Linked DNA regions of Tribolium castaneum. The protein of the gene in region 3 purifies or fractionates together with the protein of the main gene of each other region. This does not show direct contact. Links are inferred from orthologs where the notes say so. Each region holds a gene or a part of one and is shown on either strand. Other genes may lie near its edges. The genes, in order: dual specificity tyrosine-phosphorylation-regulated kinase 2, polo and hyd.

Region 1 (4,417 bases), on a different chromosome or scaffold from region 3:
GACACATTGTTCATGGTTAAGTGCAGTTTCTAAAATAATAAAGTCCAAATTTATGGCTGTCAAGAGTGACAATCTTTCGCTGAGATACAATCAATTCGTAGAAAGTGCTCTTGTCAAAACCGATCGATATTGGCGAATATTGCACTCGGTAACTGAATACGATAAAATTGTATTAAACTTGCGGTTTGCCTTATATTCAAAACAATCGGGGTATTCATCACGTTCTAATCTGATCAATTAACCAAAACAAGAAATCATTGTTTTGTTTAGAAAGCTAAGTTTAGATTAGTGTCGCCGAGTTTAAATTTATTGTAGCACAGTTCCTCTGGCGTTTAATTTTAATTTTGTCTCAGTAAGAACATGTTTTTCTTTGTTTTCACTATTGTATTCAGTGACAAAAAACCACCATTTCTACAACTATAATGAAAAAGCAACGATGCATCAAATATCGTGACCAGTCTATGTGAAGCATATACAGGATAATAAATACCTGGACCAAACAGGAAGTCAGACTTATTGTTAATAACTAGTTATAGTCTTTCAATTGCTAGATTGTAGTTACGGATAATGTTGAGTTACGCTTTATTTGGCTCAGACAAAATCAAGAGTGATTTATTTTTTACCACACTTCCCATTTATTTATTATAGAATAGCAATGCTTTCCCATATCTGCACTCGATCAGTTTTTGAGCATCAATAAATGTTCCAAACTACTGGCAATTATCCTCCGACAACTGCAGTTCCCAAAACTATTACAGTGGGACCCGGTTATAACGAACAGAACTCATAGATTAATACTTTGTATCGTGTGTTTTCAAAAAAATTTCCAAAATTTGTAGATTTTAAGTACCACTTCGGTTGTCATTTTAATGTATCTGTTGACGTGTTTTTTTTACTACGTGTAGAGTTATTATTATTATTATTATTATTATTATTAGAACAACCCTGTATGTTTATTCAATTTCCTCAGTTTCCTACATTTCTGTGACGAAGATTTAGATTACGAATTTCCCCGTGAGTGTGCACATTTTAAATACTTACCTAATCTCTGATGGTAAATGTTATCAGAGGAAAAAGTGTTATTGCCAATTTTGCAAATCTTCACATAACTATGCGAATATTTTTGCGATAATTAATCGCACCTGCGGAAGAACATTCGCACGTGCAAAAATGTCAAACATTAAATAATTATCTTTCGTAATATAAAACCGAAAGATATAGTTATATTGCAGCCATGAGCCGGCAAATTTATTTGAAATTTTTAATAATTAATTAGTTTTGCCTCTCTTCCGGATGTGCGATATGTAAAGTTAGTCTTTGTTGTCCATTAAATCCGAATTAAATTTCGATAAAAAATTGATAAATGTACAATTTCATTTCTAGCCCAGTTTCAACCCCACAATATGAATAAAAATAAAAAACTAAAACTGTTAGGTTTGTTTTGTAGTTTTTGAAATGCATGTGTTCCACCCACACGTGGATGTGAGTTTTTGGCATTGTTGTGAATTTGGGGGGTGTAGCATGGTTGTACTAACCTTGAGTCCACTTCTTCCTTGTTGTTTCAGCAGAACATTTTCCGGTTTCATATCGCAGTGTATAATTTTGTTTTTGTTAAGCGCATCAAGGCATTGTAGTAGCGAATGACTAAATTTGCGTACTAGCTGTAGACTAAAGCCCTGAAACTTGTTTTTCTTGATAAGTTCATAGAGATTGATGGACAAAAGTTCGAAAGTGATGCACATGTGGTTACGAAACGTGAACGAATCCAACATATGTATGATATTCATCGTGTTGTCTTTATCTTGCTTCCGGAGATGCTCCAGGATGCGCACCTCCTCCTGAGCCTGCCTGTGGAAGCGCTTCTCGTTGCGGACCATCTTGAGGGCCACATGCATGTGGTTCTTGTGGTCGTAGGCCTTCACCACCTGGCCGAAGGAGCCCTTCCCGATCACCTTGAGCACCTCGTAGCGGTAGGCGACGTGGTCGTGGGGAATGTGCAGGTAGGAGCCCTGGTCGTTGTCGTACTCGCAGTTGTTGGGGTTTCCGATGATCCCGGGCCGCTTCTTGGCGTTGGCCCCGATGAAGTAGATCTGGGAGAAGTTGAAGATCTCGTGGTGCTCGTAGGGCGTCAGCTTGTTCATGTAGAGCTTCATCACCTGGTCGGGGGTGGCCACCATGGTCTTGTGCTTGTCGGGGGGCCCGGGGGAGCCCTTGGGGCGCAGCATGTGCGGCTGCATGCACTGCAGCGCGCACGAGCCCACCACCTGCAGCTCGGGCAGCCCGCCGGGGGCGGCGGCGGCGGGCGGGCTCTGCTCCTTCGCCGCCGGCTTCAGCGGGGGCAGGCCGCCCCCCTCGGCCAGGTACGAGTGCGAGGAGAACAGCTGGGTGCGGGACATCGGCATCTTCAACGAGTTGGCCACTGCAGCGCTAGACATCTCTAGCGCGTTTCATTTTCCCCAAGCCCAGAGGTTGATGGCCAACCATCACTAGCACGCACCACTAACTAATACACGGACTTACTCGCACTGGACCCTTTTCCACATCCTGAGCCGCCAACCACCAGCGACACGCGTTTGGCCTCCACTTTAATACAAAAACATTTTAACTATAACAAAGGGATTTTGGTTATTTTACAGCCATATTTCCGATCTAGTGCTAGTGCTCCAACTGGTGGCGCTGCTTGCCTGCACAAAACCTCTCGGCCGTCTTCGACCCTCCTCGACTCAAATTTACCCGGACACCATTGGTCTATCCCAGCCAGTTAGAGCCGCCCATTTTCGAAATTTCAAACAAATATTTTTTTACTCCGCTTATTATCAATCATTTGCACACAATAAACAGAAAACAAACACTTTTACGTTTTTTCACCACTTTATTCACTTCCACCCCTCACAAAACCCTTCCGAAAAATATATTCACGCCAGTTCGTCCTTGACTCAACAATTAAGGGTCATTGACTTCTCAAAAGTTATGCCAGCCGGCGTAATTACGTCAATATAATCGAAATCACTACACAATGCCACACTTGTAGTGCTTTCACATAAAAATCATAATTTCATACAGAGAAAACAAAAACCAAAAATTTCTCATAATATTTGTATTTTCAAAGCTCGAAACTTAACTGTACCTAAACATTTAAAACAAATTAAAAGATAATTTCGTGAGTAGGCAGGTGGTAAATGATTTGCTTTGCTACTACATTTCAAACCACCAAAGCTTATCGTGTGGATGATAATCTGCGAGTTCTTATCAGATGTTATTAACTTTCACTACCAGGAAGCGATGATGAGACAACGTGACTAATTGCATGTCTGCACTGGAAACTAACTTTTTTTCAATAACTATTTTCTATTGTGTATTGGCCGACATTGGAACGTAGAAAATCACATCATACATTTTACGATTTCATTTTTCTACAACAAAGAAATATAGAACTGCATCAACAACTGTGAAGCCGATTGAATTACACAAAACTTTCAGAACAAAAGGTAATCGTATTACAAAGTATAGACAGGCAGGTATAACCAGCAATACAATATCCACTTAATCAAAAACAATATCAAAATCGGATATAAAACAATATTTTGTCTTATAATTGTGCCAAAAGTGCTCTTTACAGCAATACATAATCTTATTATTTATTATTATTATTATTTATGAGTGTCACAAAGACGAAAAGAGTGCGTCTTTTGACGCTTTGACCGCTTTGTTTGGTGGAGTATTCGGTGAAATGTCCCCACTATCAGGGAAGTGGTTTGGGAGATGCGAGTGGGTTGGCCCAGGCCCTGCAATTGCATTCACACATCGCCGCAGAACCAGTTTTTCAGCAATGTGATTGCTTGGCGAATCAATTAAGACGTCTCGATCGACAAATCAATTTCGTTACAAGTGCAATGATACATGAACCGACATTTTATTGTTTTCATTCGCAAATAATTTACTTTACAATAAAAGTAAACGCAATAAATGGGTTCAAATTTTTGTTTCCCAACCAGAAAGCGAATTCTAGTTGAGCTTCAACTCAACTGTTGGTTATTTTATTACAAAATCTTCTAATGGTTTTGGCGTAGCTAATTTCTCAAGAGACACGAATGCACGCAGTGGGGGCCGAACAATTCTCCAACTAAGATGCAATATCCAAAATGGACTTTCATCGATTTATTAATGCTAAATTAACTCAAATTAAATTGTTACGCGAATTAAAATATGAATGCAAATATTTAAAAAAAGCGGATTAAAACTTATAATTCAAGAATAAATTAATTCGAATTAAGTTGCTACTTACGTCACATTAATTAATTGTTTTGTGAAGCGGCCTTTAGTTGTGTAGTTTTGATGGACAAACTACAGATGTCGTATCAAGCCTCTCACTCACGCAAAGTTCTTTTTTTTCAAAACGGCCAACTTTGAAAAAAAA
Region 2 (4,144 bases), about 1.1 Mb from region 3:
AAACCTTTTGTGCCCTTATCGTTGGTGACTTTTTTATTTAACATTTTGTTGTGAATTTGTAACACGTTCTGTCAATTAATGCTTCGACTAACGTAGACATTTTTATGAATTCGTAGTATTATTTAGACCGTATCGCTTTACAATTGCAGACTATACTTTACAACAATCGCCTATTGCCTGGGATAAATTTAGAAACAATTTTTTTCATTAAAATTTGAATCGAAGAGCTCTTGAAGCTTGCGGGCCCTTTTAGGCTCCGGGCCCGGGTTCCACGGAACCCCTGTGGATACGCCACTGGTGTCAACCACTCGCAAACACAACATGCTTTTCGACTAAATGCTGTGGTTTATCGGCCTATTATAACAAAATTTTGCTAAAAAACGCGATAAATCGAAAAAAACTCAATGTCTATTTATTTTGTGATTTTTACGAGTCTTTTAACAAGTTCTAGCAAAGTAAATCAGTCTGAACTTAGAAAAATATAAGACAACTTCAATTTTGATCTAATTCGGAGATGTTTCATCCATTTCTCGGTAAATTTTTCGAAAAAAAAAAAAAACTCAAGAGTTGAAGAATACTAAAGTAACACCCATTTTAGTAAAATTAGGTGACTTTTCGGTCTGTTTTTTTAAACGTGCTAAAAAAAGACAAAACGAAATAATTTTAGATTTAAATTTTTAATTTTCGGTCACTTCTAGCAAAAAAAATAGAGATTTTAGCCCTAAAACATGTCTAAATACTCAAGAAAGGCAGAAATAACGTTATTTTTGATCAGAATTTATTGTTGTAAAAAATTTTTGAGTATTAATTAATAATTGAATCTCTGGTTAAAATATTCTAATTTTTACCTACCTTTAGCAAAATTTTTCTAAAAAAAATTTAGTTAATATCTCAAAACATGTTTAAATATTCGAAAAACTCAGAATTCACACAATTTTCAGTGTGACTTGGTGAAATTTCGGTTTGTTCATTACAAAATACCATTTGGAAAAGAAAAAAGAATATTTTACTCAGCTAAATTTAGAAAATTCATAAGAAACTCCAAACACTTGCTTAGAAAATATAAAAATAACACACTTTGCGACCAAACTTTTATCTTTTAAGCTTACTATTGATGAAATTTCGCCCAAAAACGTGATAAATCGAAAAAAACTGACATCAATTCCAAATAAATCAGCCTCGAACTAAAAAATATAAAATAAAAATTTCGATATATTCGGTGAATTTTCATCCACTTTTAGGTATATTTTTTGAAAAAAACTTAATTTTTAACTCAATGAAAGTCGAAGAACACTAAAATAACACCCATTTTAGTATATGTTTTGGGTGACTTTTCGACTTGTTTTTAAGAGATTTCGCGAAAAATTTGCGTTGCTGGTGAAAAAAAAAAAAACGAAATAATTTTGGATTCAAACTGGTAATTTTTCGGTCTCAAAAAACAGGTTTTAGCTCTAAAACATGCTTAAATGCTCAAAAACAGGCAGAAATAACATTACTTTTGATTAAGATTTATTGTTGTAAAAAGTTCTTGTGCAATAAATGAATCTCTGGTTGAAATAATCACATTTTCGCGTAAATTTTTCTAAAAAAAAAACTTAGTTTTTATCTCGTGTACACAATTTTCAGGGATAATTCCTTTATTGGCTGTAAATGGAAAAGGAAAAAAAATGTTTCAGTAAATTTAGTGATTTTTACAAGAAACTAAGAATGTAAGTTCAAACACGTGTTTACTGGCTTGGAAAAAAACGAGCAAAATCGAATAAAATAAGCTAAATTAAATAAATTTCGCTTTAATTTCATGATTTTTCAGCTAGGAAGCTCAAAAGATAAGAGTAACACAATTTTATCAATAACTGTGTTTGCTTTCTGAAATATTTTCCAAAAAACTTTGGCAAGCACTTTGTTTACTTGTAAATTTATCAAAGGTTTTAAGGAATACCAACTAGGGCCTAAGGTACCAAAGTCATCTACGAGCCCCCATCATAGCCCCCATTCATAATTTACCCTTCTTATTTATGTACAATAAAAATGGTATTTTAATATAATTTTTTTGCTACAATCTTTTCCATTACGACTTGAGTCAAAAGAGGTTTTGAAATTAATAAACCTGGAAACTGTAGTTAGAACTACCTCCCTAACTTAGAAACCCAAGTATAAGCGCCACAAGTGATACCAACATGAATAATTAATTATACAAACTACAGTGTCTTAAAGAGGTGGACTGTTGTTTAATTTACCAATTAATTTAGCTCTTTGTTTGTGCAACCATTGGCCATGACAGACATCAGTTTAAATATTAGTTTTGGTGATAAAACTATCAATATTATAGTTTCCCATAATACAGAGTGAGCAGCGATAACAACCAGGAAACAGACGCAGTTTAAAGGGCCAAAAACTCACCCGCTTTCTGCACAGCTCCAAAACTATATAAATATTGTCCGTATCCTCGAAAAAACTATAAAAACCGACAATATTTTTGTGTTTCAACGACTTGTGTATCTGTATCTCCTGAGTCATTTTCTCCTTCTGGTTTTCCTTGACTATCAGCTTTTTCGAGACGACTTTCCCGGCGAACGTTTGGCTGTTGGCCACATTCGTAATTTCGTAGCATTTTGCAAATCCGCCCTAAGAAAAAACGGCCACTATCACATGAACCCATCGACAAAAACAACACTAACCTTGCCGAAGAACTGCCCCTTTTTGTACCTAATTTTCGTGTTCTCGTCGTATATATAGTCGGGAACTACGACATAATCGTCCACTTTCGACATTTTCACTAATTACTCCTAGTTTTATTCACAGTTATTGCGTTTGGTTGGGTTTTTACGGCAAGCATCCACCACGGCTTGAAAAACTTTTGGCAGTTGAGAAGATTTCAAACGCCGGCAGCTGATTGGCTGATTGGACAGGAAAATGGTGGGGAAAAAAGAATTGTCAACGGAAGTGACTACTTGCAGAACGCGATCTCTAACCACCAAACAAAAATAGACCACAATAAAATACACAAAGTGGTTTATATTGACTCAACAACTTTGGTTTGGTCGATCAAAAATTGGGCCAAACGCTGATCTTGACCGTATTTTAAATTTAGTCTATCAAAACATTGATTTATGTGTTATGCAACTCACAAAATGCTTCTGCTGAGGGCGTTGCCTAGCTAACAACCTAACAATTAATATTAAAAAAAAACTAAACAGAAATTTATACAGGACTGTAGGCCGCGCATTCAGGCAGGGCGAAGGCCTACTCCTAAAATTCTTGTTCTTCCTAGACAAATTTTATACGTTTTATAAAAATTTATAAAATATAAAATTTTAACTTTGCGTTGTCTACACTTTTTCAAAAACACCATAAACATGTACGTATTTTTATTTTTGGGGAAGTCAAAACTGCAAAGCGTCATCTGTTATGCAACATCGAATGTGTATGATTTATGAGAACACTGTTTTTTCACAAAAAAATAAATCTGGCAATTATTATTACTGCACTTGGTTTTCGAGGAAAAAAAAAGGCACACGGGAAATTTATTTTGACTTATTTTTATTAGAGTTTAATAATAAACGAGAAAATGTTTGACGAATACAAAGTGTTCTGTCTAAACTAAGTTTCGGAGTATTGAAAAAAGTACTGAAAGTTTTGATAATAACATTTATCTGAAAATTAGCCTAGAGCCATAGCTCATTGATTGAAAATATTTTCAAAATGGCGGCACTTCCGATTGTATCGAAAATCGCTATGAACTTTTTTATTAGCTTTTTCCTATTCCTAAATTTAGCTATTTTCTAAATAATCAGAATTTTTTGGAAATTTTTGGATTTGCACCTTTCACTTCAATAATCGTAAATTCTGCTATTTTTAGAATTTTAGAAACAGTATTTGGCCAATCAAAAACAAAGCCTAAATCTTTCCTTCAGTGTGTTCAAAAAAGTTTACAAAATCCAAAATCTTAACGTTATTTTTGGACAGCTTCTACATGCTATAAGTTTTTATTTCACTAAATAGAAGAAAATTTAATTCTGCAACGATCTGTGTTGGCATTTCTTATGCTTATTTGTGATAATTTTCAAGTTATGTTAATTTTTTTGACATTGCTAGCCACAGATATTTTTGCGCAGTTTGACAAAGAAACATTTCATTGAATAAA
Region 3 (3,459 bases):
GCAAAAAACAATCTCACATTCAGTATGAACGTAACACATTTATCACGTCATATTTAAAAAAATCGGAAGTTCCAAATATATTTTAATATTTTTGGGTGTTAGACGCCTTGTATTATTTTACAGAAATGTATGCCCCGTATCTGTCCTTGGTTCAAAGCTCGACAAACCAAAGTCATCAGAGAGCAATTCGTTCTAGGACCTGAGTGTGATACGCCCGTTATGTTAAGCTTGAGCGTACGTATCGTAGGTCCACGCGATATTTTTTCTACAACTTACCATTGACGATCCCGCTCGAACTATCACACTCTTGCTTGGACTTCTGGAGGATGGAGTCGTCGATCCACTACTATAATCCTGTGTGGCTTCGCTCGAACCATTCAAACCTTCTTGTTGCTCCTGACTCGAAACTTCGGAAATTTTTCTCGGCGAGACGATAATCTGCGGCCTCGATGTCGGTACTTCTTGATTATGTCGCGAGGATAAGTCATGCGGAGTGTTTTCTTTGCTATTTTCGCCAATTTCATTCTTAACAGCGGCGAGGAGACTCTCAAAAGTTTGCAAGTTCTTGTTTTTGGTTTCATCGGATGTTGACGGTTCGTTGGAGTAGGTTTCAGTCTGGACGTGCACTTCTCGAGCGTTTGTTTCTGTTTCTGGGTTGTAATTTTGGGGGTAAATCAAGGGGTTAGGGCCCATAACGTTTAACGATTGGGAAATTGGGTGGTTGGCTTTTGCCGGTTGACTCATCGCAAAATCGGTAGTTCGAGTCGAAAGACTCAATTTCGTAGGAAGTGATTCGAGAGGATTGTTTGAAATGGTTCCAGTGGAGGCCAAAGTGATTGGTTGTTTCGGAATCCCAAACAAATCTTCCCTTCTTGCATTGGGTTGTAGGAGATGAGGTTGGTCGGCCAGTGGTAGTGCTTCAGCCATTGGCGTTTCAAAAGGATCTGGTGGAGGACAACCTAGACACAAAGTGGATTCCGATCGTTGGAAAAACGAATGTTTGCGACCTTTTCCCGACCCTCCTTGCAAACTCGACGAATTTAAAGTACTCGAAATCGTCGCAAGATTAGAAACATCTTGGTCTTCCAAACTTTCAGTTTCCATTGCCACGGCTATGTCTTCCTCAGCTTCTTCGTTCTCGTTCTCGTCTTGATCGTTCCACAACGGAAGCGAAAAACCATCACGTCGCAAGTCAGTATCATTGCGGTCAGATGATCCCGACCTCATAAAATAAATCAGAGCATCGAAAACATAAGCAACGTGTTTCAAAGCCGAAACGTCCAAAATCGGTAACGAATCCAAATGTTCGTTGTTGTGAGCTCTCATTAATGACAAACAATAGGAGAGAAATTCTCTCCGGGCCGCGTGAGCGTCCACACCATCGCGTTCAGGTCGAGTTCGACTTTCCACGTTTGTGGTAAAACCGACCAATCGTGTACCAGAACTACTGGAAATGGTATGACCCCGGTGACCACTCGATCGAAGATTGCTTGAATTATTTGCCGAGACTCCGGTCGTAATTCCGGTATTGAGCGGATGACCTGGACTCGAAAGATCGAGAGAATTGGTTAGAGATGCACCGAATTTCAGTTGGGCTTCAGTGGCGTCCATCACTGTCAAAAGCCAATCCCAGGTCGGCTTCAGGCGGAATTCTAGATAAATCTACGAAGCAACAACCAGTCATGTGTCCAGTTAGAAAAATTACTAAAAACTCACTTGTATGTTGTAGATATCATCTTGTGACACTTCCATGTGTGCAACAGTCGACAAGGCTTGATTCAGGTCAGGCAGTGAGGATAACAAGTCCGTGATTTGGCGAATAATTGCGCCTGTAATGATTAGTAAGTTAAAAAATACAAGTACGTAAAAGCTGTACTTACCGAAGGCCCTAGCTAAGGAACTGGCCGATGTGGACATGGCCACCGGTTCCGAGCTTGCAGCGACCGCCGTACTTCCAGTCGTAGATCGTCTTAACGTACTGGGATCAATAAAAACTAAATTAGAACCGTTGGCCAATCGAACACCAGCCGATCTGCTTGCTTCACGTGACCGTATTGCCCATTGCATATTCTGCGGGGCCAAATTGCTCCTCTGTCCATGACCGGTCGTATTGCTGTAACGGCTTCTTTCATAGACAATAATCAGAGTAATGAGAAACACAAAAAACATCACTAAATCAAGAGCCAATAATCATAATAAAATAAATTACTTGAAGAAAAATGCTAAGAAAAATTGTCAAATTTACCTTCTTCGCTCCAACTGTTCATCCGTCAACGTATAATCTTCAGTGTCCTGTTCGTCAGTTTCGCCCGCTTCGCTCTCTTCCTCTTCCTGTTGGCTTGACTCGCCGCTTTCGTCTTCCGGGAACAGCAGCATACCTCCTGATAAGTTACACAGAATTGCATACACATGCAACCAACCACCCGCTCTCACACGCCTATATTAAAATATACTGCCTTAGACCCTGTGTGTATCGTCGGCACACAAGAAATAAATTGCTGAATGCAATACGTTATTAAGATAATGCGATGTTTGAAACATTGTTTTTTTAAATTATGTCTTTTTTTTGCAGTATAGATTAATATAGGTATGAGCTAGCTCCTCACTCTCTCCCTTTCTCTCCACCAATCAAATTGACTTACCGGTATCAGATCCGGCCGTTGCTCCCGTCTGTACCGACCTCTGTGCAGATGCAGCATCCTGATTACTATGATTATCATCACTATCCGACTCCGTCTCCGCCAACAGATCCAATTCGGGATCGCTTTCCTCGCCTTGGATTCGACTTTCCTGTTGGTACGGAGCAGCTTCGACCGTTTCATTTTCATTAGTCGACGACTGTCTAACAGTAATTGGCAATTCACGATCAGCGGGAACATCCTCATGTTCGGACGCATTATCATCGTCATTATCAATCGCCATACTTTCACCATCATTCAAATTCAATAAATCGCGAGCGTTTGCCAGATCGCGTGCATTAGCGGCCGCTCTTCGCACAGCTTCGGCCAAAAACGGAAACCGCGGCATTGTTGAAGACCCAGAAGGTCGTGAACTCGACGGTGCTAAAGGATCAACTAGGAATAATTCTTCCGATCCGTTTAGAACGTCATTTACGGATGTTGCAAGTGAAAAGGGGGCAGTTGGTCGTGCTACGCCCAATCGAACCGGTGCCATAATAGCGTCAGCGCTCTCACACAGCTCCTCAATCGATAGTTTGCTCAAAGCTTGGAATATTTTGCGACATTTAGTCAACGGTTGGTTTTGGTTGCTTAAACTGCGTCGTTTCGTCGAGTTCGGTGCCATTTCGATGGAAAAAACGACAAAAATACGCACAACTGAGCGGACGAATCGCCGCGAAACCATTGTGGCGTATTGGGCTTGTTTCGCATCTGGATTTTTCATTTCTCTGATCAAGGTTTCGAGAAGTACGTCGATTACCATTTGGCATTTGACAAGGAA

Evidence for each region.
Region 1: the proteins of hyd (region 3) and dual specificity tyrosine-phosphorylation-regulated kinase 2 purify together in Homo sapiens (affinity purification with western blotting; 3 studies listed by BioGRID and IntAct, with this or other methods). This does not show direct contact. The link is inferred for Tribolium castaneum from reciprocal best matches to the Homo sapiens genes UBR5 and DYRK2.
Region 2: the proteins of hyd (region 3) and polo purify together in Homo sapiens (affinity purification with mass spectrometry; 4 studies listed by BioGRID and IntAct, with this or other methods). This does not show direct contact. The link is inferred for Tribolium castaneum from reciprocal best matches to the Homo sapiens genes UBR5 and PLK1.

The regions. Positions count from the first base shown.
Region 1 is NC_087403.1:4,166,335-4,170,751, forward strand, and holds the start of dual specificity tyrosine-phosphorylation-regulated kinase 2, read right to left. Parts: upstream 2,878-4,417; 5' UTR 2,436-2,877; coding exon 1,536-2,435; intron 1-1,535. UniProt on the Homo sapiens protein: Serine/threonine-protein kinase involved in the regulation of the mitotic cell cycle, cell proliferation, apoptosis, organization of the cytoskeleton and neurite outgrowth. Functions in part via its role in ubiquitin-dependent proteasomal protein degradation.
Region 2 is NC_087398.1:11,007,902-11,012,045, forward strand, and holds the start of polo (serine/threonine-protein kinase polo), read right to left. Parts: upstream 2,907-4,144; 5' UTR 2,772-2,906; coding exon 2,679-2,771; intron 2,626-2,678; coding exon 2,401-2,625; intron 1-2,400. UniProt on the Homo sapiens protein: Serine/threonine-protein kinase that performs several important functions throughout M phase of the cell cycle, including the regulation of centrosome maturation and spindle assembly, the removal of cohesins from chromosome arms, the inactivation of anaphase-promoting complex/cyclosome (APC/C) inhibitors, and the regulation of mitotic exit and cytokinesis.
Region 3 is NC_087398.1:9,885,072-9,888,530, forward strand, and holds part of hyd (E3 ubiquitin-protein ligase hyd), read right to left. Parts: coding exon 2,643-3,459; intron 2,382-2,642; coding exon 2,246-2,381; intron 2,126-2,245; coding exon 1,881-2,125; intron 1,830-1,880; coding exon 1,717-1,829; intron 1,663-1,716; coding exon 277-1,662; intron 253-276; exon of another isoform or gene 124-252; intron 1-123. UniProt on the Homo sapiens protein: E3 ubiquitin-protein ligase involved in different protein quality control pathways in the cytoplasm and nucleus. Mainly acts as a ubiquitin chain elongator that extends pre-ubiquitinated substrates.